7 linked regions of the Kluyveromyces lactis genome follow. The protein of the gene in region 1 interacts with the protein of each later gene in a biochemical or structural test. Links are inferred from orthologs where the notes say so. Each region holds a gene or a part of one and is shown in the gene's direction. Other genes may lie near its edges.

The links.
Region 2: the proteins of CDC28 (region 1) and KLLA0_D15543g form a complex in vitro, tested with the Saccharomyces cerevisiae proteins (10 studies listed by BioGRID, with this or other methods). The link is inferred for Kluyveromyces lactis from reciprocal best matches to the Saccharomyces cerevisiae genes CDC28 and CLB2.
Region 3: of the proteins of CDC28 (region 1) and CAK1, one has a biochemical effect on the other in vitro, tested with the Saccharomyces cerevisiae proteins (4 studies listed by BioGRID, with this or other methods). The link is inferred for Kluyveromyces lactis from reciprocal best matches to the Saccharomyces cerevisiae genes CDC28 and CAK1.
Region 4: of the proteins of CDC28 (region 1) and ORC1, one has a biochemical effect on the other in vitro, tested with the Saccharomyces cerevisiae proteins (2 studies listed by BioGRID). The link is inferred for Kluyveromyces lactis from reciprocal best matches to the Saccharomyces cerevisiae genes CDC28 and ORC1.
Region 5: of the proteins of CDC28 (region 1) and SLD2, one has a biochemical effect on the other in vitro, tested with the Saccharomyces cerevisiae proteins (4 studies listed by BioGRID). The link is inferred for Kluyveromyces lactis from reciprocal best matches to the Saccharomyces cerevisiae genes CDC28 and SLD2.
Region 6: the proteins of CDC28 (region 1) and GRR1 form a complex in vitro, tested with the Saccharomyces cerevisiae proteins (2 studies listed by BioGRID, with this or other methods). The link is inferred for Kluyveromyces lactis from reciprocal best matches to the Saccharomyces cerevisiae genes CDC28 and GRR1.
Region 7: the proteins of CDC28 (region 1) and KLLA0_D15565g form a complex in vitro, tested with the Saccharomyces cerevisiae proteins (7 studies listed by BioGRID). The link is inferred for Kluyveromyces lactis from reciprocal best matches to the Saccharomyces cerevisiae genes CDC28 and CLB5.

The regions. Positions count from the first base shown.
Region 1 is NC_006038.1:854,827-857,567, reverse strand, and holds CDC28 (cyclin-dependent serine/threonine-protein kinase CDC28), read left to right. Parts: upstream 1-1,353; coding exon 1,354-2,241; downstream 2,242-2,741. Other genes in the region: IFA38 (ketoreductase), read left to right, coding at 1-769. UniProt on the Saccharomyces cerevisiae protein: Cyclin-dependent kinase that acts as a master regulator of the mitotic and meiotic cell cycles. Required to drive the G1-S transition. More than 200 substrates have been identified. Substrate specificity is in part regulated by the bound cyclin protein.
Region 2 is NC_006040.1:1,312,509-1,315,879, forward strand, and holds KLLA0_D15543g (cyclin family protein), read left to right. Parts: upstream 1-1,251; coding exon 1,252-2,871; downstream 2,872-3,371. UniProt on the Saccharomyces cerevisiae protein: Essential for the control of the cell cycle at the G2/M (mitosis) transition. Interacts with the CDC2 protein kinase to form MPF. G2/M cyclins accumulate steadily during G2 and are abruptly destroyed at mitosis.
Region 3 is NC_006042.1:823,808-826,682, forward strand, and holds CAK1 (cyclin-dependent protein kinase-activating kinase CAK1), read left to right. Parts: upstream 1-1,409; coding exon 1,410-2,375; downstream 2,376-2,875. Other genes in the region: ERG3 (C-5 sterol desaturase), read left to right, coding at 1-849; putative mannosidase MNL2, read left to right, coding at 2,767-2,875.
Region 4 is NC_006038.1:453,401-457,516, forward strand, and holds ORC1 (origin recognition complex subunit 1), read left to right. Parts: upstream 1-1,316; coding exon 1,317-3,977; downstream 3,978-4,116. Other genes in the region: ECM7 (Ecm7p), read right to left, coding at 1-844. UniProt on the Saccharomyces cerevisiae protein: Component of the origin recognition complex (ORC) that binds origins of replication. It has a role in both chromosomal replication and mating type transcriptional silencing. Binds to the ARS consensus sequence (ACS) of origins of replication.
Region 5 is NC_006042.1:1,277,744-1,280,583, reverse strand, and holds SLD2 (Sld2p), read left to right. Parts: upstream 1-1,137; coding exon 1,138-2,340; downstream 2,341-2,840. Other genes in the region: CTF13 (Ctf13p), read right to left, coding at 1-1,067; snoRNA-binding rRNA-processing protein UTP15, read right to left, coding at 2,490-2,840. UniProt on the Saccharomyces cerevisiae protein: Has a role in the initiation of DNA replication. Required at S-phase checkpoint. Also required for the proper activation of RAD53 in response to DNA damage and replication blocks.
Region 6 is NC_006041.1:544,719-548,678, forward strand, and holds the start of GRR1 (SCF ubiquitin ligase complex subunit GRR1), read left to right. Parts: upstream 1-1,160; coding exon 1,161-3,960. Other genes in the region: JSN1 (Jsn1p), read left to right, coding at 1-558. UniProt on the Saccharomyces cerevisiae protein: Substrate recognition component of a SCF (SKP1-CUL1-F-box protein) E3 ubiquitin-protein ligase complex which mediates the ubiquitination and subsequent proteasomal degradation of target proteins.
Region 7 is NC_006040.1:1,315,625-1,318,634, reverse strand, and holds KLLA0_D15565g (uncharacterized protein), read left to right. Parts: upstream 1-1,283; coding exon 1,284-2,510; downstream 2,511-3,010. Other genes in the region: KLLA0_D15576g (uncharacterized protein), read right to left, coding at 1-248. UniProt on the Saccharomyces cerevisiae protein: Required for efficient progression through S phase and possibly for the normal progression through meiosis. Interacts with CDC28.

The DNA.
Region 1 (2,741 bases):
CCTAATTTTGATCAGTAGAACTGAATCGAAGCTAGTTGAATTGAAGAAGGAAATCGAGACTGAATGCAAGATTGACGTTAAAATTTTAGCCATTGATGTCAGTTCTGATAGCAAGGAGAACTATACTTTAATTAGAGAAGTTGCGTCGGGTTTACCTGTAACTGTTTTGATCAATAATGTTGGTAAGTCTCATTCGATTCCAGTACCATTTGATCAAACCGAAGAATCTGAATTGAGAGATATAATTACTATCAACAATACTGCGACATTAATGATCACACAAACTTTGTTACCACAATTAAAAGCAAGCGTTAAGACGTTGAAATGTCGTGGTCTAATCTTGACAATGGGTTCCTTTGGTGGTCTGCTACCTACCCCATTCTTAGCTACATACAGTGGTTCCAAGGCATTTTTACAAAGTTGGTCTAACGCCCTAGCTGGTGAATTATCTAGCGATTCTATCGATGTTGAGTTAGTGTTATCTTACTTAGTTACCAGTGCAATGTCTAAGATTAGAAGATCAAGTGCATTGATCCCTTCTCCAAAGGCTTTCGTGAGATCCACATTGAACTCCATTGGCAAACGCTGTGGTGCCCAAGAGCGTTTTGCAACCTCCACGCCGTATTGGTCTCATGCATTATACCATTTCATTATCGAGAACACCGTCGGTGTGTACTCTAAGATTGCTAATTCAATTAATTATTCCTTCCACTTGAGTATCAGAAAGAGAGCTTTGAAAAAGGCTGAAAGACAAGCCAAGAAGCAATAAAAAGAGTTGTCTCCAAAATATTAGTTTGTTTTGATATAAGGAGCAGGTTTAAATAGATTTGTTGTAGTAACGTTTGATTATTGTGCGATATCCTGACAAAGAAACCATAATTATTGGAACCTGTAGAAGTGTATAAATTTTGTAAGTTTCTGTGTTAAATATTCTGTAACATGAAAGTATACTGAAAAAACCGTTCAGCAATGCCCTATACGTTACAAAATCCCTGCGTTCATCTTACAATTCCAAACCTTTCTTTCTTTTCAATTACACGTAAAGCTCATTATTGACCTTCTGACCTTAAAACGAAGAAAATACAAACACAATTTCGAAGATATTAATATAGTATTAAGGCAACGTTAATCTGTTAGAAAGAAGGCACATACCAGGGTAATATTAGAGCCATAAGCACTGAGTGATAGTTGATTATTTGATTTGACGCATATTTATACGCGAGCACAGCAAATTTTACTTGATCTGAATATACTGCTGCAAAAGAGAACAATCTGTACCTACCTAAAACTTGAAAGTAGTAAAGAAACAGAACAGCAAGGTCGCATCATACAAGAAATCCACCCTATACCAGGATGTCCGAATTAACAAACTACAAGAGACTTGAGAAAGTCGGAGAAGGTACTTATGGTGTTGTTTACAAAGCGGTTGATTTGCGTCACCAGAATCGAGTGGTAGCAATGAAAAAGATCAGATTAGAATCTGAAGACGAAGGTGTTCCCAGTACTGCGATACGTGAGATTTCATTATTGAAGGAACTGAAGGATGACAACATTGTCAGATTATATGACATCGTGCACTCGGACGCGCACAAGTTATATCTAGTGTTCGAATTTTTGGATCTTGATTTGAAAAGATACATGGAATCGATCCCCAAGGACCAGCCATTGGGAGGCAACATTATAAAGAAGTTTATGATGCAATTGTGCAAGGGAATTGCTTATTGCCATGCTCATAGGATCATACATCGTGATTTGAAGCCGCAGAATCTATTGATCAACAGAGATGGGAACTTGAAGTTGGGAGATTTCGGCCTTGCACGTGCATTCGGTGTCCCCTTGAGAGCGTACACCCATGAGATCGTCACTTTATGGTATAGGGCACCAGAAGTGTTATTAGGTGGGAAACAGTACAGTACAGGGGTCGATGTATGGTCCATTGGCTGTATATTTGCCGAGATGTGCAACAGGAAACCGTTATTCAGCGGAGACAGTGAAATTGATCAGATCTTCAAGATATTCCGAGTGTTAGGCACACCAAACGAGAGAACATGGCCGGATATTATTTATCTACCGGATTTCAAGACTACATTCCCTAAATGGAACCGTCGTAATTTATCCGAGGTAATTCCATCGCTAGATGCAAACGGTATCGATCTCTTGGACAAATTGATCACCTACGATCCAATCCACCGCATTAGCGCCAAAAGAGCAGTACAACACCCGTACTTCAAGGAGGAGTGAGAGTGTTGGTGACAGGAGGCGCGTATATTCATGTATATGATATATAATAAAAACAATACCAGTCACGTGTATTCACGTGACTTATATTACCCGGAACTCCACATTCCATTTCTTTTTGTCCCATCCAACAGCCCTTCGAGAGATGCTGCAAACATACCACAAAAACAAAAAAAAAACGGGCCTTGATTTCCTTGCCTGTGCCACAGCAATGCGCCCAAAAAGAAAGAACTAAGAGCAAGAAAAACCGAAGCAAATTGAAACCCGCCCCCCTCCCCTAGGCCTGGGGCTCTTCGTTAACGTTACGCCATTGCTAGTTTGGCTGAACGCAAATCTACCTAGTCACCTATCCTCGACATCCCCTCTCTATCGCTAATATGTCTGTCCATTATTCCGACCGAATCCCTGAAGAAATTAAAGACGAGGCCTGGTAAGAGACAGCTCAATTGACGTAATGTCTCTCAACTCAACCCATACCTTCTCTCTCTCTATTCACATCCCCC
Region 2 (3,371 bases), on another chromosome or scaffold:
ACACAAACAGCATTTTGCAGCTGGAATTCACCAACGATCGCGCGTATGAATAGTCTTAACTTCGCTAGGGAGAAAAACAGCCAGTGCCAGGAATAGGGCCAGAGCCAGGTCCTGTGTTTGCACTCATGCTACGGCCTGATTTCTTTATTGATCGAACACTTCCTAATAAGGAAAAAGGTAAACAACTATGCATATTTACGTTTTAGGAAAAATGTAAATAAACCGATGGACTTTTCACAAAAGCTCATCGCTTTGTAATTTGGTGCTACCTTTCTGACAAAGAAGCATCAACTGACTATATGAGCAACTGAGCGGATTGGGGGGATAGGGCATCACTGCGCATACTCCATTGCAGTATTCCTTTGGGTACTCCATGCTTGTGGTTACATTTTTCTTTTGGTTATTATTACAGAATGACGACAACGTTCGGTGACTGAGGGAATCCTCATTAGATTCTGTGAAGGGGAGGGGCGTCTGCTATGAAGCCATAAATCAACGTAGAGGTTCTTTGTAGACATTTAAAATTTCTTTTGTGCTACTTCTCCCGACAGTTGAAGCATCTGTAGTGAGGTATTCTTCTTTATCTTAGAAGTAAGAAGTTTTTGCTGCGTCTGTCTCAGTGACGATAGAGAAAAAGTAGGCTTTAAGCGAACGATCACAAAAGCTTCTCACGGTTCTTAAAGCTTTTTCGGTGAATCTTTCCATACAACTGGTGAAGAATTTGTATTGTTCCGATTGGAGTGAGCCTGTTTTTTCTTTTTGAACTTTTCTGGTTTGTTGTCCCTTGCTGTTTCTTTATTATTGTTTTGTTACTTCCTCAATAGGTTAGTTTCCAAATCGAATCTGAATCTGATCCAAGCTTTTCAGATTCATTATTTCAATAAAGAGGTTTTAGCTTTGAACAATCCCAGTCCATAGTTGACAATAGTCGATAGGAAACATACTACCAAGAGTATCGCCAGCGGTGAAGACATTGCTATCGGTAGAGACAGTGATAGCAGAAAGCAAGTTGATCAAGAGATCCTACGTCTTGCTCCTAAAAAGAATCGCAGAGTTTTTTTATACTGGAATCAAGATCTGTTGGTATAACTCTTAATTATTGATCTCCTGCAGAACTCATTGGGAAATTGGTAATAGAATAGTTGACTGAGTTGATTGCTAAAGCAGGTACTAAAGAAAGTGCAATTGTCTTTCTTTCCGATCTCTTCTTTTTAACAGAAACTAAATTAAAGACAATTCTGTCAAAGCATTATGTCAAAGGATAAATATGATAGAAGCTTGAAAAACTTGAACATGCTAAGAAGACCAGTGTTAAACAATGTTACTAATACTACTGAATCTACGTTCGGTAAAGTTTTGAGGCAGGCTAAATCAAGACTGCAGAATAGCAGGACGAATAATCTTCCCCAGGGTACCGCAAACTCGTATTCGAACACAAAACCGGCACCATTGAGAGATGACATAATGGTACCTGAGGATAAGGAGAATTACAATCCGCTAGCTAAGATTGATGAAAGAGAGGAGCTGGATTCTAATCTAGTTCATAATCACAAATCCCTGGGTACACAAAAGCATGTTACGATCGATGAAAGACAAGAAATAATTGGATATTCACATCTGGATACTGAAAAGTCTGCTCCATCATCATCAACATACAGCAGTGAGCATACGGAAAATGACGGCGTTCACGACGTCAACCCAAATGTTCAGCGTTCAGATAATGAAGCTGATTTCAAGATGCAAACCACAAACGCTTTTCACGAAAACGTCAACGATGGCAGTGACGCAACAGATGATGCCAGTAGTGGAAGTAAGAGTAGCAATGAATGCCCTGCTGTTAACGTCGGAAACAGCCTTGCGCCTATGCCAATTGACGAAAATGCTAACAATAGCGCTAGCAGTGTCGAATTGAGAGCAAAGCAACTTCAGGTTGAGGATTCGAAAAAGAGACCAATAAGCACTGTCGTTGAACAAACGTTACCTAAGAAATTTAAAGTATGTGAAAAGGGTAAAGAATATGAATGGGAAGATCTTGATGAAGAAGATATCAATGATCCCTTCATGGTAAGCGAATATGTTACAGATATCTTTGAATATTTGCACAGATTGGAAATGATGACTTTGCCTAACAGACACGAACTATTCAAACATGCCAACATTCAGCAAAATAGGGATATTTTAGTTAACTGGATGGTAAAGATTCATAACAAGTTTGGCCTACTGCCGGAAACCTTATATTTGGCGTTGAATATCATGGATAGATTCCTTTGCAAAGAGTTAGTACAGCTGGAAAAACTACAATTAGTAGGAACAGCGTGCTTATTCATCGCTTCGAAATATGAAGAAGTGTATAGCCCCAGTGTGAAACACTTCGCTTACGAAACGGATGGTGCATGCGATGAAGAAGAAATCAAAGAAGGAGAGAAATTTATTCTAAAAACGTTAGAGTTCAATCTCAATTATCCAAATCCCATGAATTTCCTAAGAAGGATATCTAAGGCAGATGACTATGATATACAATCCAGAACATTGGCGAAATATTTGCTTGAGATATCCATAGTTGACTTCAAATTCATTGGGATTCTACCCTCATTGTGCGCCGCAGCATCTATGTTCTTATCGAGAAAGATGTTAGGAAAGGGCCAATGGGATGGAAATCTAATACACTATAGTGGAGGATATACCAAAGACGAACTAGCTCCCGTGTGTAATATGGTTATGGAATATTTGGTCCAGCCTGTTGTACATGATGAATTGTTTAAGAAATACGCTTCGAGAAGATTTATGAAAGCATCGGTAATTTCTAGACAATGGGCAAAGAAAGTCATGTCCCACAACTATGATATAATGACACTACATGATTCAGAATAAATCACGAGATTCGATCATTTAAAGAAACCATGATCCTTCCGGCCTTAATTACTGAGTATGATTGGCCATTGTAGTGCCAATATGAAATGTTATCGAGGGACTTTTTCCTATAAGAAGAAATTCGAATCACGGGGTCAGAGATATGGAATCAATCTGATCCAATACTCAATTAGTTTCTGGGAAGTGGAATAGTACATGTTGCGCGTTAAAGGGAGGCATTCTAAAAGCATACTAAACCCAAAAAAAAAAAAAAACGATAACTATACTAATACTAATCATAATAGAAAACAAACATTGTAATAATTAATCTAGCCAACCCACATGTGTCAATGTGTTTTCCATTCAACAGATAAAATGAGGATTTAGACCTTAGTGAACCCTTTACTTCAATTCACTTTTAATATTTCACCTGCTCAAAAACTCAGAAAGAGTTCTCTCAGGATCATCAGTATCAGCATTATGTTGCAATCATAGGTATACCCACCCCTTACCCTTTAAAG
Region 3 (2,875 bases), on another chromosome or scaffold:
CAATCAATTTTCCCTCGTTATAATTTGTTTAGAGAAACGCTAACGATGTTTGTCTTGATGACAATTTTTGGATGGGCTTTGTACTTCAGTGTCGCTACGATGTCGTACCTTTTCGTTTTTGATAAGGCTGTTTTCAATCATCCCCGTTATTTGAAGAACCAGATGTCGTTGGAAATGAAACAGGCATTCAGTGCCATCCCAGTGATGGTTCTGTTGACTATACCATGGTTCTTGTTCGAATTGAACGGATATTCGAAGCTTTACCTCGATATCGATTATAAATCATGGGCTGGAATTCGTCAACTTGCGTTTGAAGTGATCTCTTTCATCATGTTCACCGATTGTTTGATTTATTTGGTTCATAGATGGTTGCACTGGCCTAGAGTTTACAGGGCTTTGCACAAGCCTCATCACAAATGGTTGGTTACCACTCCATATGCGTCGCATGCGTTCCACCCAGTGGACGGTTACATGCAATCTGTGCCATACCATCTTTACCCAATGATTTTCCCATTGCAAAAAATTTCATATTTGATTCTTTTCACCTTCGTTAACTTCTGGACTGTAATGATCCACGACGGTGAATATCTGGCTAATGACCCTGTCATTAACGGTGCTGCTTGCCACACTGTGCACCATCTATATTTCAACTACAACTACGGACAATTCACTACCCTATGGGATAGATTGGGTGGTTCTTACAGAGAACCAGATCAAGAACTTTTCAACAAATCTTTGAAGAAGAGCAAACAAACTTGGGAAATCCAAGTCGAAAAGATGGAGGCCATCAAACAAGAAGTAGAAGGTGACTGTGATGACAGAGTTTACGTCACAACCAAAGCTTCTTAGGTTAATTGTAAGTCGCTCTTTCTCGATTCAAGACTCTTCACTCCACTTTGCATGCATTTGCACACCATAACGAACTACATTCAAGACTGTAACTACTCGTTTTCTTTTCTGTTATGATTATGACTACTTTTTTTTTCTCCTACTCACAATAAACACATGTCCTTCGTACGATATCTCATTTCCCCTCTCTCGGATACCTGTTACCAATTGAATTTCCATCTCTTCCCTTTTAGTTAATTGATGTCTGTCTTCGTTGGATCAAACTTTCCCCATTTTTATGTATCTATATATACATCTTACTTACTTGTACAATTATAGAACCTTCAACATACGTGTTTTTATTTTAGTAATTATAGTGATTCCTTGCGATACTACAAAATGCTACACCTTTTCCTTGTCTTTTGTCGTCCTTGTCTTTTGTCGTCCTTCCTTCATTTATCACATTAATGACATAAAACGGAAATTATAGATTAGTTCTAATCTCTTCGGACATGAAACTGAACCATTGGGTTTGTCACTGACAAGACTAGGGGTATAGCGTACTAACCTACATTGGCTACATGACAAACAAGACAAATATGACAACTCCAATTAAGATTCAAACAGGTTGCGCTGATTTAGAATTGTTTCCTGACATTGTGGTGAAACGGATAGATCTTGAGTTGCAAAGACCTCCTCATAATGCACATACTGAGTTAGAAATTTTGAAAACACTATCAAATAAGCATGTGATACCCTTGCTCGGTTCTGAAACCTCACCAAGGTATGTTACATTCAAATTCAAACGGTATCAATGCGATTTAAACCAGTTCATGGACCAACATTGGAAGGCGAAATACAATCCGTACTTGTTAGATAATTCTACAAAAACATATTCAAATACCATACCACTCGATCACTCGACAGTGATTATAAGACAAATAATCGAGGGATTAGTTTATATACACGGTAATGGCATTATACATAGGGATGTCAAACCGCAGAATATCATGCTTAACTCGTACAATGAAGTCGTATTAGGGGACTTCGGTATAAGTTACAATAGGAATCTGGATAATGAGGCCAAGACCTGTGATTGTTCCACATCAATTTACAAAGCACCAGAGCTTCTCTTTAGCGTGTCAAATTACAAATTCGAGATAGATATTTGGGCATTAGCTGTGTTGATTTCTCAACTCTGGAACGATAAAACACAATCCAAATCAAAAAGCAGCAAAGTGATAGACATTGATTTCGACGAATGTTCTGACATAAAACTTGTGCTCACTTTATTTGATAAGTTTGGGAAACCCAGTAACGAGGATTGGCCTCAGGTGACTAAAAATGAATCATTCAATGGGATGTTCGGGAATGTTTCAAGCGATAATTTCTTGCATAGGAGACCAATTGACGAACAACTGATTCAAGTGTACAAATGGATGCCTCTCATAACGGACAACCCAAAATTAGCTAAGATGTGGCTACGCATGGTCAAATTCGATGGTAATCTGAGAATATCGGCAGAGCAACTCTTGGTATCTATCTAGTAGTGTTTCTTTGTAGCTCCATAAAATGTTGAACCTGCTTTAATCTTTGTATCTCTTTCTTCTGAACTAACATCTGTCTTTTCATCTCGTTCAATTCGACAGATGGTGTGCTAACTTTCTTCTCGGTATCCATATTTAAAACTTCGGCGGGGTGACAACAATACCGGTTGTCAGAAATTTCATTTGAATCCATTGGCAGTTTCCCTCGATTTATTGTCCTTGAGTGGACTATTGTGACCTTGAGAGATGAGATCAAAATCCGTTTTCAAATTAGAAAAACATACAAGCACGATATTGGATTCACGAAATAGATAAGTTATAAACTACTTCATGTCTATCCCATTAGCTAGACCTACGATCTCACAGGAACATTAACACATAGGAGAGGACTATGTTTCTAAGGTTACTCCTCCATACATGGAGGAAATGCCGATCAATCCTGCTTTTGCTCATTACTGCAAGCGTTTTATTCTACTATACCTTTGAAAATGAGATTGAGC
Region 4 (4,116 bases), about 400 kb from region 1:
TTGATAGTATAGTAAAGTTTATGACTGCTACTAAAGAGCAAATAAACACCAATAGTTTCATTAGTGATATAGAATGCAGGAGGATTTTGGTTTTCATGGTTTGTTCAGGTCTATTCCTGATCATGTAGTACAAGACAATCGATCCCAATATGAAAACTTCCAATACTGCCACGACGTAAAGTAGATTGACCATGTTGACTTTTCTTCTCGACAAAGCAGCCAAAAATTTGTTGTATTTTGCACTTTCTGCATTGTCGTGATCCAAAACACCATCGTTGTAAGTATATCCGTATGCGTAACTTAACACTATTCCCAAACCTAGGTCATCTAATAGCTTTCTATAGTTCAATAAGTATTGCGCTCCTTCCCTGTGACAAGTCATAGCCTTTGTAGAGTTATGTTCCTCCTTCCAAGTACCGTCAGGCTGCCATAATTCTTGAGAAGCATGTTTCATGCTGCACCATCCGTAAACTCCTGTCTTTATATAATCGGGCACGTCGTGGACCTGTGAGTCTACATACCGCGTGAGTAAAAGAATCTCTGCTGTTGTGAGTCCTGCTCCGTTATTAATATCAGACAGTTTTGCACTGACAACAGAACTGCTGAGCTTATCAAATAGTCCCTGCAAAATGTTAACATTTGAAGTGTCCAATCGTCCTAAATATAACGAATTTGGTGATGCGGCAGAAATAGCAGTCAAAACAAGGACAAAAACGATAATTCCCACTGAAGTTATAACTCGCAGCCATAACATCATCTTATCAAATGCGTTGAGGTGTCCTAGGGTCACTTTTAAGTATTTCCATAACGATATATTCCTCGCCAAGACACTTCCAAACCTCATTTCTTTTTATAAAGCTCCTAAAAGCTTCTTATGTATGACTCTATCAACGTGGGAAATTGTTCAATTTTTTTTCCAGCAGGCCAGCTGCCTTTATTCTTCTGTGTTTATCTGCTTCACCTTCGTTAATTGACTGGCAGAATTCATTCTGTTTATCATGTCATCACTCTTGAGATAAATCTCTTGATCTGTTTCTGCCAGGGTTCAAGGTTTAAAATTAGACGTCAGGAATGGGAAAACTATGTATCATTTTACACGTATTTGATGTTTCAAGATCGATCTTAATTCAGTAAACAGAGGAACCGTGTAACAACCAATATGCTATGAGATAAAAGAATGCTACGGAAACAGGTAGCTGTCATTTCAACATACTTGGCCAGCAAGTAACTACTACTAGTTTAGGAAGGAATTACTGCATTTTAACGGTTATCTGATTATTTTTCCTTTTTATTCCGTGGTAGCGAGTTTATTAGGCATGGCGTCAACGTTAGCTGAGTTTGAAGTTCAATGGGAAATACAGAAGACAGACTTGAAGGGGAATCTCATTGCTGAAACTCCTAGGCGAAGAAGAAGAGGAGATGCTACAGAACATGAAGTGATTAATTTGGTACGATACGATGGAGTCAGACTTTATCCTGGTGTTACGATTGTGTGCAAGGTAGAGGGTGCAGACGAGTTATCAGCGTATATGATCCATGAGGTGCGATTGAATACAAGCAATTACGTAGAACTCTGGTGTTTGAACTATTTGAGTTGGTACGAGATCAATGCTGCGGAAAGATATAAACAGCTTGATGGAGAGTTTTATGAGACTAATAAGGAAAAAGGTGACAAATTTTTTGAGGAAACCTTCGCGTCACAATCGATAAAGAACGAATTGTATTTGACAGCTGAGCTTTCAGAGATTTATCTACGGGACTTGCAATTTGTAGCTAATATTAAAAATGAAAAGGAGTATTTAGACTCTGTCAATGAAGGGAAAATGGATTCTAATATGTTTTTATGTCGATCTGCATGCTTGCCTTCAGGAACTAATCTGGCGGATTTAGATATACATTTCTTTGAAGAAAAAATACGTTCCTCGAATCCTAAGGTGTCTCTGGAGTATTTGCGTGATATTACTTTACCCAAGCTTCCAAAACCTTTAAATAAATCCAAGGTCCACGCACGAGAGAAGGTAGTGGCGACGAAATTGCAGTCCGACAACACACCAAGCAAAAAAAGCTTTCAACAAACAGTGAGCAAAACCAACGCTGAAGTCCAACGCATTGCATCTACTATTGTTAACGAAAAGGAAGCTATATCAGATAATGAATCGGATTTATCTGAATATCACGAAAGTAAAGAAGAGTTTGCAAACGCATCCTCTTCGGACAGTGATGAAGAGTTTGAAGATTACCAGTCTGCAGAAGAGCTTGCAATTGTAGAACCTGCCAAGAAAAAGGTGAGATCTATTAAACCAGATATACCCATTTCACCAGTAAAATCACAGACTCCATTGCAGCCATCAGCAGTTCATTCATCTCCTAGAAAGTTCTTTAAGAATAATATAGTGCGCGCTAAAAAGGCATATACTCCATTTTCCAAACGGTATAAGAATCCGAAGGATATTCCTGACTTGAACGATATTTTCCAAAGGCATAATAATGATTTGGATATAGCTGCATTAGAGGAGAGATTCAGAACAGTTTCTGCTAAAGGCAAAATGGAGACTATTTTTTCTAAGGTGAAGAAGCAATTGAACTCAAGGAATAGCAAAGAAGAAATTGTCAAAGCTGCTGATTTCGACAATTATCTTCCGGCAAGAGAAAATGAATTTGCAAGTATATACCTCTCACTTTACAGTGCAATTGAAGCAGGCACTAGCACCAGTATTTACATTGCCGGGACGCCAGGCGTTGGTAAAACTTTGACGGTTCGAGAGGTAGTTAAGGATTTAATGACATCTGCAGACCAAAAAGAACTTCCAAGATTCCAATACATTGAAATCAATGGTTTAAAGATTGTCAAAGCAAGTGATAGTTATGAAGTCTTTTGGCAAAAAATATCTGGAGAAAAGCTTACATCTGGAGCTGCCATGGAATCTCTGGAGTTTTATTTTAACAAAGTTCCAGCTACGAAAAAACGTCCTATCGTTGTGTTATTGGATGAGCTTGATGCATTAGTTAGCAAGAGCCAAGATGTAATGTACAACTTCTTTAACTGGGCTACCTATTCAAATGCGAAACTTATTGTTGTAGCTGTCGCAAACACCTTAGATCTCCCCGAACGCCATCTTGGTAACAAGATTTCGTCCAGAATTGGTTTTACTAGAATTATGTTCACTGGTTACACGCATGAAGAGCTTAGAACAATCATCAATTTGAGACTTAAATATTTGAACGAATCTAGTTTCTATGTCGACCCGGAGACAGGGAGTTCGTACATGATCTCTCCGGATAGTAGTACTATAGAAACTGATGAAGAAGAAAAGCGAAAAGACTTCTCTAACTATAAACGACTAAAACTTAGGATTAATCCTGATGCCATTGAGATTGCATCAAGAAAAATTGCTAGTGTCAGTGGTGATGTGCGGAGAGCTTTAAAGGTGGTCAAAAGAGCGGTAGAATATGCGGAAAATGATTACTTAAAGAGGCTTAGATATGAGCGACTAGTCAATTCCAAAAAAGATACTAGTGGCAATGGTACAGGAAATGAAGAATTACAGAGTGTAGAAATTAAGCATATTACCAAGGCATTAAACGAAAGTTCGACCTCTCCGGAACAACAATTCATATCTGGTCTGTCATTTAGCGGAAAACTTTTCCTATACGCATTAATCAATTTAATTAAGAAGAAGCAAACTGACGTACAACTTGGTGATATCGTAGAAGAAATGAGGCTCCTCATTGATGTCAATGGGAATAACAAATACATTTTAGAGTTGAAACGGATTTTATTCCAAAATGATTCTGTTGATACAAAGGAACAGTTAAGGGCCGTGTCTTGGGACTATATTTTATTGCAATTATTGGATGCAGGTGTTGTAGTAAGGCAATATTTGAAGAATGAGAGGCTCTCGACGATCAAATTAAATATTTCCATGGAAGATGCGGAGCAATGCTTGCATGAAGATGAAATGTTGAAGACATTTTAGTATATGCCTTCAAGACGCCTTTGCTGCTATTATAATTGCTACTTAGGTTGTCATGTAGCGTAGCGGTTAAGTAGAATATGAAACTGCTTTTTCAACTATTTAATTATAAGATAGAAAGATATAATAAAGGATGCATTTT
Region 5 (2,840 bases), on another chromosome or scaffold:
GCGTTGTGCAGTTCTATGAAATTCAGAGGTTGGTATGTTTGTACCACTTCTAAATAAAGGTTATACCATTCTGATTCCTCTTCTTCTTCTTTCTTCGTGGGTTTTTTCACCTGACCATTTATAATCCATTGAGGCCTGATTCGTTTCAACAGATGAGACAGGTCCCACCATATGATATACTTCACTTCTTTTAATATCAACATCTTGCAATGTTGTGGTAAAATAAGGTTATTGAGGTCTATGAATTCGCAACCTGATAAGGAAAGACATTGAAGTTGTTCCCATTTTTGTAAATCAACAACAGATTTGTACCCCAAATCCCTCAACGTATACAGCTCTAATTCGAATATATTTTGTCGGACATTGTATACTATTGTCTTACCAGGGTTCTCTCGAACTCCTTGAGTATTAATCAGGTTATTAAACATGTTCTTCGATTCAATGCGAAGCATGTGCAAGTTATTGAACGACTCCATGCATGGAATGATAGAAACGACGTTCTCATGATCTAAATCCCAGCAATTGATGAAACTAATATATGAAACTGTATCAAATAGCCAGCGGTGTTGTATCTCTTTGCATAATTCATTGACATCATTGATATCACTGACGTTAATTCCTAACCTCAAATCTTGTTGTGCAATACTCAAAAGATGGCAATACTCGTTAATGGTATAACTCACCTGTAGAAACTGCTCATCTGTAGTGAATATTCCTATTTCAAGCTCACCTGACACTACGATCCATTGGACACTAAACCATTGTTCCTCATATTGTAAACAAACCCGCAGTCGATCAGTAAGTATTATGTCATGTCGAAGCAAATCGAAGTCTCGGCACCAATTGGGAATGAAATTTGGTATATAGTCATATACACCAATATGTTTAGAGTACTTATCCACCAGAGATTGATTGAACTCCCTTATATTAGGATAGGCAATAAGCTCATCGTTAAAGATATCTGATTTAGCAGGTGGTCTTACATTTTGCACAACGTCGCCCAAAAAGAAGTAAACAGTATACCGTATATCGATTGGTAAACTGAGGAACAGCTTGGTATCAAACATTCCATCTCATGTGCCCTGATTGACCTGTGATCGTGAATCTTTTGCAGCTCATTTCTCTTTATTCTTCTTCATGGGAAACTTCAATAATTTACGCGTTTTAATTTCGTTCTTTGCCTTTATTCTAACGACCTTTATGAATGGAATAAAAGAGACAGATACAGTAAATGCACCGTTGTTACTCGTGATATCAAGCGCTAGTATGGATGCTCTTAAGATTGAGATCAAGCTGTGGGAGCGTGCTTTCGAGAAAGAGCATGGAAGGCTTCCTGAGAAAGATGATATAAAAAAGGATAAAGAGGTCAAGAGAAAGTATAAACAGTATGCACAGCTCAAGAAGGATGCTACTGTTAAACCATCGGTGGAGGTTAACGTAGAGCAAACACCAGTGAAGTCGCATGTGAATAACACAAAGGCTGAATTCGGACCGACTCCTCAAATGAATGGGAAATTAGTTAGTATATTTGAGATGCAAGTGTCTGCCATGAAAACTCACCAGTCGGATCAAGAAGATATAGTTGGCTCGCCAGTAAGATCAAATGACCTGGTAAGGCGCCAATTGAACTTCTCAATAACGCCGAACTCTTCTCCAATGAAGCAAGTTCCAAATCTATCTGCGAATATTGTTGTGTCAAGACCGAAATATGGACCAAACTCCCCAATGCGGATCGGCGATATTGGATTGCAGTTGTCAGAAACACCAAAGACGCTTGGTAGAACCCTGGATTTGAAAAGTTCTCCCTTCAGCCCATCGCCGCTGATTAAAAGGCCGGTGAAGACACTGTCCCAATTAGCGAAGGAACATGCCATTATAAAAGACGAATTCGAATCTAACCCAGAAGATTTCAGCGAATTCACTGCGATTAGAACGCTTATGGAAAAGCTGATGCAGGAAGAACATATGGATATAATTGAAGAGGGGGACGAGGGAACTGTCGGCAATGAAACTGAGAGCAATTATGTGCGGAAAGTTAAAACCATAAAGAAAAGAACAAAAGCGAAGATGAGACCAGCAGCATTAAACGAGAAGTCGACCAACATTCCAGACAAAAATGTTCATGAACAGCTAGCAAAGTTGAAGGAACGTGAGTACAATAAAATGCTGGGTAAAGAAGTGGAAGAAAGTGAGTCTGACTCTGAACAACAATCCAATCCACCCGTAAAGAAGAAGCAACGTAAGAGTAAATACAACCTTGTTAGCAACAACTTCAAGCGTTTGAATCTTCCAACAAAGGCAGGAAGAAACAGAGCCAGTAAATGGAGAGGAAGAAGGTGATTTCTTCAAAGTCAGAACGTTAAAAACAAAGAAACAGACGTAACGAACGGGATGATACAGTTGTTGCAGTCTATGTACTATAAATGTAAATAAATATAATCTTTTACACGCATTCCTTTTTGTTATAGATCAGTGTAGAAAGGATTTTATCAGTTTGTTAACAATTGGAGCATACCCTCTATCTTTTGTGCTTCTTTTGCTTTGCGGATCTCTTCCCTTACTCTTTTCTTTAGAGTGATTACCATCTCTTCAAGTACTGGGGACTTCTCCAGTACACTACCGTAGAGTTCAATTACAACCGCAATCCAGTCTGCAACAATTGGTGCACTTCTAACATCTTCTATTCCCTTCAAGCACCAGTTGAGTAGTGGTTCTAGAGAACTTTCGTCTCTACCGTATAATGCAACCTTGATTTTACCTCTTTTCCTTAGTTCTTGTAATACCGTTAAAGTTAATTCTTTAGCCATACCGGGGATAAATGCAGAATCTAATGCGTCAGA
Region 6 (3,960 bases), on another chromosome or scaffold:
ATTTTGACCACAGAATCTAATATCACACAGCATCGCAGACTCTTGGAAGAAGTGGGCTTGAATGCAATAAACAATCAACCATCTACCGCTCAAACCAAGCCAAGAATGAGTATTTCCCATGTTTTTGGTAATGACCATCCTCAACATATGAGGACTGTTTCCGTCAACAGTGTCAGGTCGGCATCTTCTAGACCAAGAGCCTCCTCGAACGCACAATCTCAACAGCAACCCATCCAATCTTCTCAGGTCCAAGCTCAGTTACCTCAACAATCCCAATCTCAACCTCAGCATCAACCTCAGCAAGCGTCCATTTCTGGCATCTCTGGGCAAGCAAGCTACTACACCTACCCTGGCATGTTTCCCGCTTCACAACCGTATCAGTATTCCACGTCAACCAGTGGTCTGAATGATGATTTAGTGTCAAATTTTGATATGCTGACATTCAATAATGGCACGCAAATATCCTTGCCGCAACTAACAATGAATGGTCAACCACTCCCCCATTCTCAGAATAGACATCATAATGGACAGTTTGGTGATGGAATGTTCAACCACTGATTTGTTCACGAGCTATTGTTACATACTAATAATATTAAAAAAAAAAAGAAAATGTGGCACGTAAGACGCTAAAGTATCCTGTGGGGAACATCCCTGTATAATAAGAACCTCCCCTCGCTTCCCTCTCATCTATTTCTCACCTTCTGTTTCATGATCAAAAACTTACACAATTATTGCAAACGACTCCTGATCCTACTTATGTTATTCCAGGATGATGATTTTTACGACCTAAAACCTATTAAAACAAGCTTGCAGCACAAACTGCTGTCTCGATCGATGACTTCATACACTTTCGTCTCATAATATAGATATAACTTCTCCTTTTCATCTTTTAAATGTACATAAATATATTATATATACCTCGATCTTCAAAGTTTATTCTTCTCAGCTTCCTCTAGTTTGACAGTATTCGTCTTCTGTGATACTTCTTAGTATATTTTGCGTAATTTCTATGTCACAAAAAAAGGTAACCGCTCTCTCCTTGCTGATTAAACGTTTTATGTGATAAAATACAGGTCCAATTAAGTGGAGCCAATAGTAGATGAAACTCAAAAGGAAGTATTTGTACTATTTTGAGTGATACTTAAAATTGCTACGCTACAATGGACCCACAGCAACCGGCATCCGATAATTCTGAATGGCAGTTTCAGGTCAGTCCTGGCGCTGCTTGGAATTTAAGAGCACAAGCCAGGAGGGGCCAGACAGGCAGCAGGGATGCAATTCCGTTAAGAGTGGATGAGCTGACGGATGAGAATGAGCTTAATTGGGAGGCTCTTAATAATAGGAATCTTAGCATTCTTGGAAACGATACCCTTTCTGATATTTTCAGATCAAATCAACTGATCAATAACGGAACTAACGATAATAATAGTAATAACAATATCGACGGTGAAATACTGAATACTACAGGAACTGACGAAGATAACAGAAGAAGTACTGATATAGATAATAATACCGCTGACCATTTCGAAGAATTGACGCGGGGAGCTGCTCGTGAAGCTAACTTATCGAGGGAAAGTGCTCATGTATCTTCTGGTCTGCCTGCTGACTGGTTTACTACCATGAATCCTAGTAAACTGTCTTTACACCAAAGACCATTTTTGGCTAGAGAGCGGAAATCCGCCCTTAGTGGCATTGCACAAATTGAAGATGATTTAAGACAGTTGTTTGAAAACATAGAAAAAGAAGGATGGAAATTACCACCGATCGAAGGTGATTCTGAACAATTACAAGAATATTTTGATAAACACAAAATCGATATGAGGGCAAGACAAAATATTGAGAATTTTGTTCTCAAAATGCAAAAAGAAGCATTAGATGACAGCTCTAACTGGACCGAAAAGGAAGCGTTGTTGGATTTCTTACTGAAGCAAGTCCAACTTACACCAGAAGACACTACAGCATTAAGTGAAATTGTCGAACTTTCAAGATACAGATTTAAATTTGCATTAGGTATTATAGAATTAAGAAAAAACTATCTTAAGGAGTCTTTGCAGCTAGGAATCCAGCGACTTCGTGACCTAAACTATTCAGCATTTTTAGCGGAGAGTAATTTGTCGACGGAAGTTGTTGAACATCTAAAATCAACAATTATGAAACAGCAAAGAGTTATTTTAAGGGCAATCGAAATGGAACTCTATTCTCTACATTCCTATCAAGAAAAATATTCGGAAATTATCAAAAGGATGGCGAGATCGATACATGACTACTATAAAAGAAAGAATACCAACCCTAACGTACCAAATCCTATTTATTACTATCGCGATTTGTTTTTGAAATACTCTCCTTGGACAAAAAGAGGATTGGACTTGGCTTTATATGATATGCATGTCTCAGAAGAGGAATGGAAGTTTATGTCTAATCACGTGAGAAGCCAGTTGCCCCAGATGCTCTCAATGGTTTCTAAAGATAATGCATTATATACCAGAATCAAAACACCAAAGAACACTTTCCCGTTATCTGATCTTCCTCATGAAATCCTAGCAATGGTTTTAGAAGCAAAAAGTCAAAAAGCCAATATTGTTCCCTTAATGGCTGTTTCTAAGGCTTGGGCTGAAGTCATTGCAAAACTCATATATTATCGTCCCCATATCAATAAACAGCAGCAATTGAATTCTTTTTTGATTACCATGAGCAAGCCTAAGGAAGAGACGCTATTTGATTACAGGAGCTTGATAAAACGTTTAAATTTTTCATTCGTTGGTGACTATATGACAGATAGAAAACTAGAACATTTCATTGGGTGTCCTAACCTTGAAAGACTTACTTTGGTTTTCTGTAAATATATTACAACCAAATCTGTGGCAAAAGTTTTAAAGGGTTGTCAATATTTACAAAGTGTCGACATAACTGGTATTCATCACATTAGAGATGATTTGTTTGAAGTATTAGCATCGGATTGTGAGAGGATTCAGGGACTTTATGTTCCTCATTCAAACGATGTCTCACCTAATGCTATCTCGAATTTTATCACTCACGCGCCGATGTTAAAACGTGTCAAAATAACTTTTAATCAATCTATTGAAAATGATTTGGTGATGAAAATGGTCAAATGTTGTCCATTTCTCGTAGAGGTGGATTTAACGTCAACACCGAATATTGATAATCATGGCTTGGTTACGCTATTCACCTCTTTACCTCAATTAAGAGAAATCAGAGTCACGCATAACACGAACATCACCGATGAGTTTATGTTGGCGGTTTCTCAGGAAACCATGGGATTACCTGCATTAAGACTAGTCGACTTCTCTGGTTGCGAAAACATCACGGACAAGACAATTGATAAACTTGTTACTTTAGCACCCAAGCTAAGAAACTTATTTTTGGGGAAATGCAGCCGTATCACAGATTCCGCTCTAAAGTCGTTGGCAAGATTGGGAAAAAATATACAGACAATGCATTTTGGTCACTGTTTCAATATTTCAGATGAAGGTGTCAGGGTTTTAGTAAGCAATTGCCCCAAGATTCAATATATCGATTTTGCTTGTTGCACCAATTTGACAAACAAAACCCTTTACGAACTCGCTGAGTTGCCCAAACTTAAAAGAATAGGTATGGTTAAGTGCTCTCAGATTACAGATGAGGGACTTTTAACAATGATAAGCATTCGCGGAAGGAATGACACGTTAGAGAGAGTCCATCTATCTTACTGTACCAGTCTAACGATCTATCCTATATATGAATTGTTGATGGCATGCCCCAAGTTATCGCACTTATCGCTAACTGCAGTTCCATCTTTTCTTCGTCCCGATATCACGCAGTTTTGTCGTTCTCCCCCCAGTGAATTTACCGCTAATCAAAGGCAGATATTCTGTGTATTTTCCGGAAAGGGCGTTCATAAGTTGCGTCATCATTTAATGGGTATTCATGAACCTACCGATGGACCTAGCACCAAATCTGACG
Region 7 (3,010 bases), on another chromosome or scaffold:
ATAGTATCGTCAATGGCCTTGTTTTCAGCCAAACCATTATTGGATTTCCCAGGTTGAATATTGTACTTGGCAGACATCACCGGGGACAAATCGTGTTTCCCGGAAGAAACTGCAACAAGAGCACCGTCTGCATCGACCATATGAGGCAAATCCTCGACCTTAGGAGCCTCATCGTATTTCTCACCTTCAACTGGACTCCCAGAAACGTATCTCTTAAATTTTTCCCACTTAGACTTGAACCCTTCCATATTCCTTGCGCTGCTTTTTATCTAGTTAATAGATAGTGTTCTTCCTAATAATCAGATGAATACAAAAGAAAATGATGTTATATCTTGGACAAAACCCCCCAAAAATCGGTTGTAACCTTACTTATATACCTACGGTAGGTTTCTCGTACTATATAATCTAACTATGGAACGGTGTACCTTTTGTCTCTTCGAGCCCTTTAATCTGATAAATCTCAATGGAGCCGTATGGCGATATCAGATTTTCATTATCTGTTCGTTCTAAGAAAGACCGACCGATAAGATAGAGGAATAGTAGCGAAAGACTGATAGAACTCGGCGAACGTCTGCCTTTTTTCCTTGGCTGTACTGGGCTGACTTTGTAAGCCGGTACGATATATGCCAGGCAAATCGCTCGAAGGAAGAGGAGTCAGCGATAATCGCTGTATGTCGCATACTAATGAGTCTCTCTCTCTCTCTCATCAGAAATAGAAAACGGGACTTTTTTCCCGTCTAAATCACGTGAAAATAAATTGACAGTTTCCATTTTGTCCGGAATACTTTGGTCACGTGATTGAGATCCGGACAACGCGAAGACGCGAAACAATTTTTTTTCAAATTTCGTTTTTGGCGTGCTGACGCGTCAGCACTTTGCGAAGATGCGAATCTACAAAGCGAAATTGGAAAGTCCTTGAACCAAGACAGGCCTGTTAGAGCTTCCAAAGGAACTTCACGAATTTTATGACCTGCTGTTAGTCTATGAAAGCGTGTATAACAGATTTTGTTTGTTTCCACTGGATATGCACGGTCGATTACTCGGTGTTTTTCTGTATATTGTATCTTTCTCGTTGTTTTAGGGCCAAGAAAGAACAATAAGAGAAAGAGACGCGATTTGTGTGTTGTCTGTCAGGTCCAAGATTTTGGTGACATTGGCTGGCTGGGTTACCGCTAACAGGTTAAGTTCTTCTCTATCCTGTTGAAACTGTTTTCATATATATATATACAGCATATATGTTTACCACATACTAGGAGACAGAACGATAGAGTATAGATTTTAAGATGAGACCGAGAACCAGGAGCAGCTGGAGTGTTAGTGACGCAGAAGCAATGGAGAAGTCTTCACACCAAAGGAAACGTGTCGCGCTATCGGAGCAGCCACTCCACGATAATAAACTGAAATCTTCAGTCGGGTCATTGAGGAATTCACAAGTCGATGAAGGTAAAAATAAGATATATGGGAACTCTTCACAGACAACGAGTTCAGTGTCGTTGAAAAGACAGATATACCGTGATGATGATGATGAGGAACAAAAATCAGATGTGCGTTCAGATGATGATATTCTAGAGCCCAGGAAAAGTCATAAGAGACTGAAATGCGAGAGCTTAGAAAGACGTAGAGAAGAATTGGACTCCCAGGATAAAGAAGATGTAACGATGTGTTATGATTATTCGGATGATATTTTTGACCATCTTTACACGAGACAGTTTGAAACTACGCCAAAGATCAATTATTTGAAGGATAAAAATTACGAATTTTACTTGAGACCGACGATGAGATCGATCCTCGTTGATTGGATTATAGAGGTTCATTGTAAGTTTCAACTGTTACCGGAAACGTTGTACCTTTCGATAAACCTCATGGATAGATATCTTTCTTTTAACAAAGTTACATTACCAAAGTTACAATTAATTGCAATCACGTCTTTATTGATTGCCGCCAAGTTTGAGGAGGTGAATCTTCCTAAGCTATCAAATTACTCATATATCACAGATAATGCTTACAGCAACGATGAAATCAAACAGGCCGAGTTTGTCATTCTGAATAAACTGGAATACAACATCGGATGGCCTAACCCATTAAATTTTCTACGAAGAATATCCAGATGTGATGAGTACGATTCAATCACTAGAACTTTGGGCAAGTGTTTAATTGGATATATGATTTCGTGCCCACACTTCATCGACGTAGTGCCTTCTAAGATTGCGTCCGTGGCAATGTTCACTGCACAAAGAATCGTGCATGAAGACTTCCAATGGGACGAATTATGGGATTATTATTCATGCTTTTCATTCAAAGATAATGAGATAGAGTTAAAAGAGTTATCACAAATTCTGATAAACGATATTGCTAAGCCAACAACACAACTTAATGCATTAATTCACAAATACAAAAAAATTGGCACATGGAACAAAATCCATGATTGGTGTTTGAAGCACTGTACTTATGAAGAGCTGAACCCTAGCGACTACGCTTCATCATCACCTGCATCTTCCACTTCACTATGATAATTTTTCACTTCCGAGTTCTTTTGGATCTTAAGCTCATTCACATCCCCGAGCTACTTTTGCGGTCTCGCATTCCCATCATTTCAAGATGTTCTTACTTCATAATCATATCCATTGCATTTTATAAATAATTAATCGAGTAATCAACTAATAATAATAGTTAAAAAATGACTTATTCATTAATTGAAATTAGTTCAGAAACATGCTAAGTGTACATAAGAAGTAAATTATTTGAAGTGGTTATACTTTAAAGGGTAAGGGGTGGGTATACCTATGATTGCAACATAATGCTGATACTGATGATCCTGAGAGAACTCTTTCTGAGTTTTTGAGCAGGTGAAATATTAAAAGTGAATTGAAGTAAAGGGTTCACTAAGGTCTAAATCCTCATTTTATCTGTTGAATGGAAAACACATTGACACATGTGGGTTGGCTAGATTAATTATTACAATGTTTGTTTTCTATTATGATTAGTATTAGTATAGTTATCGTTTTTTTTT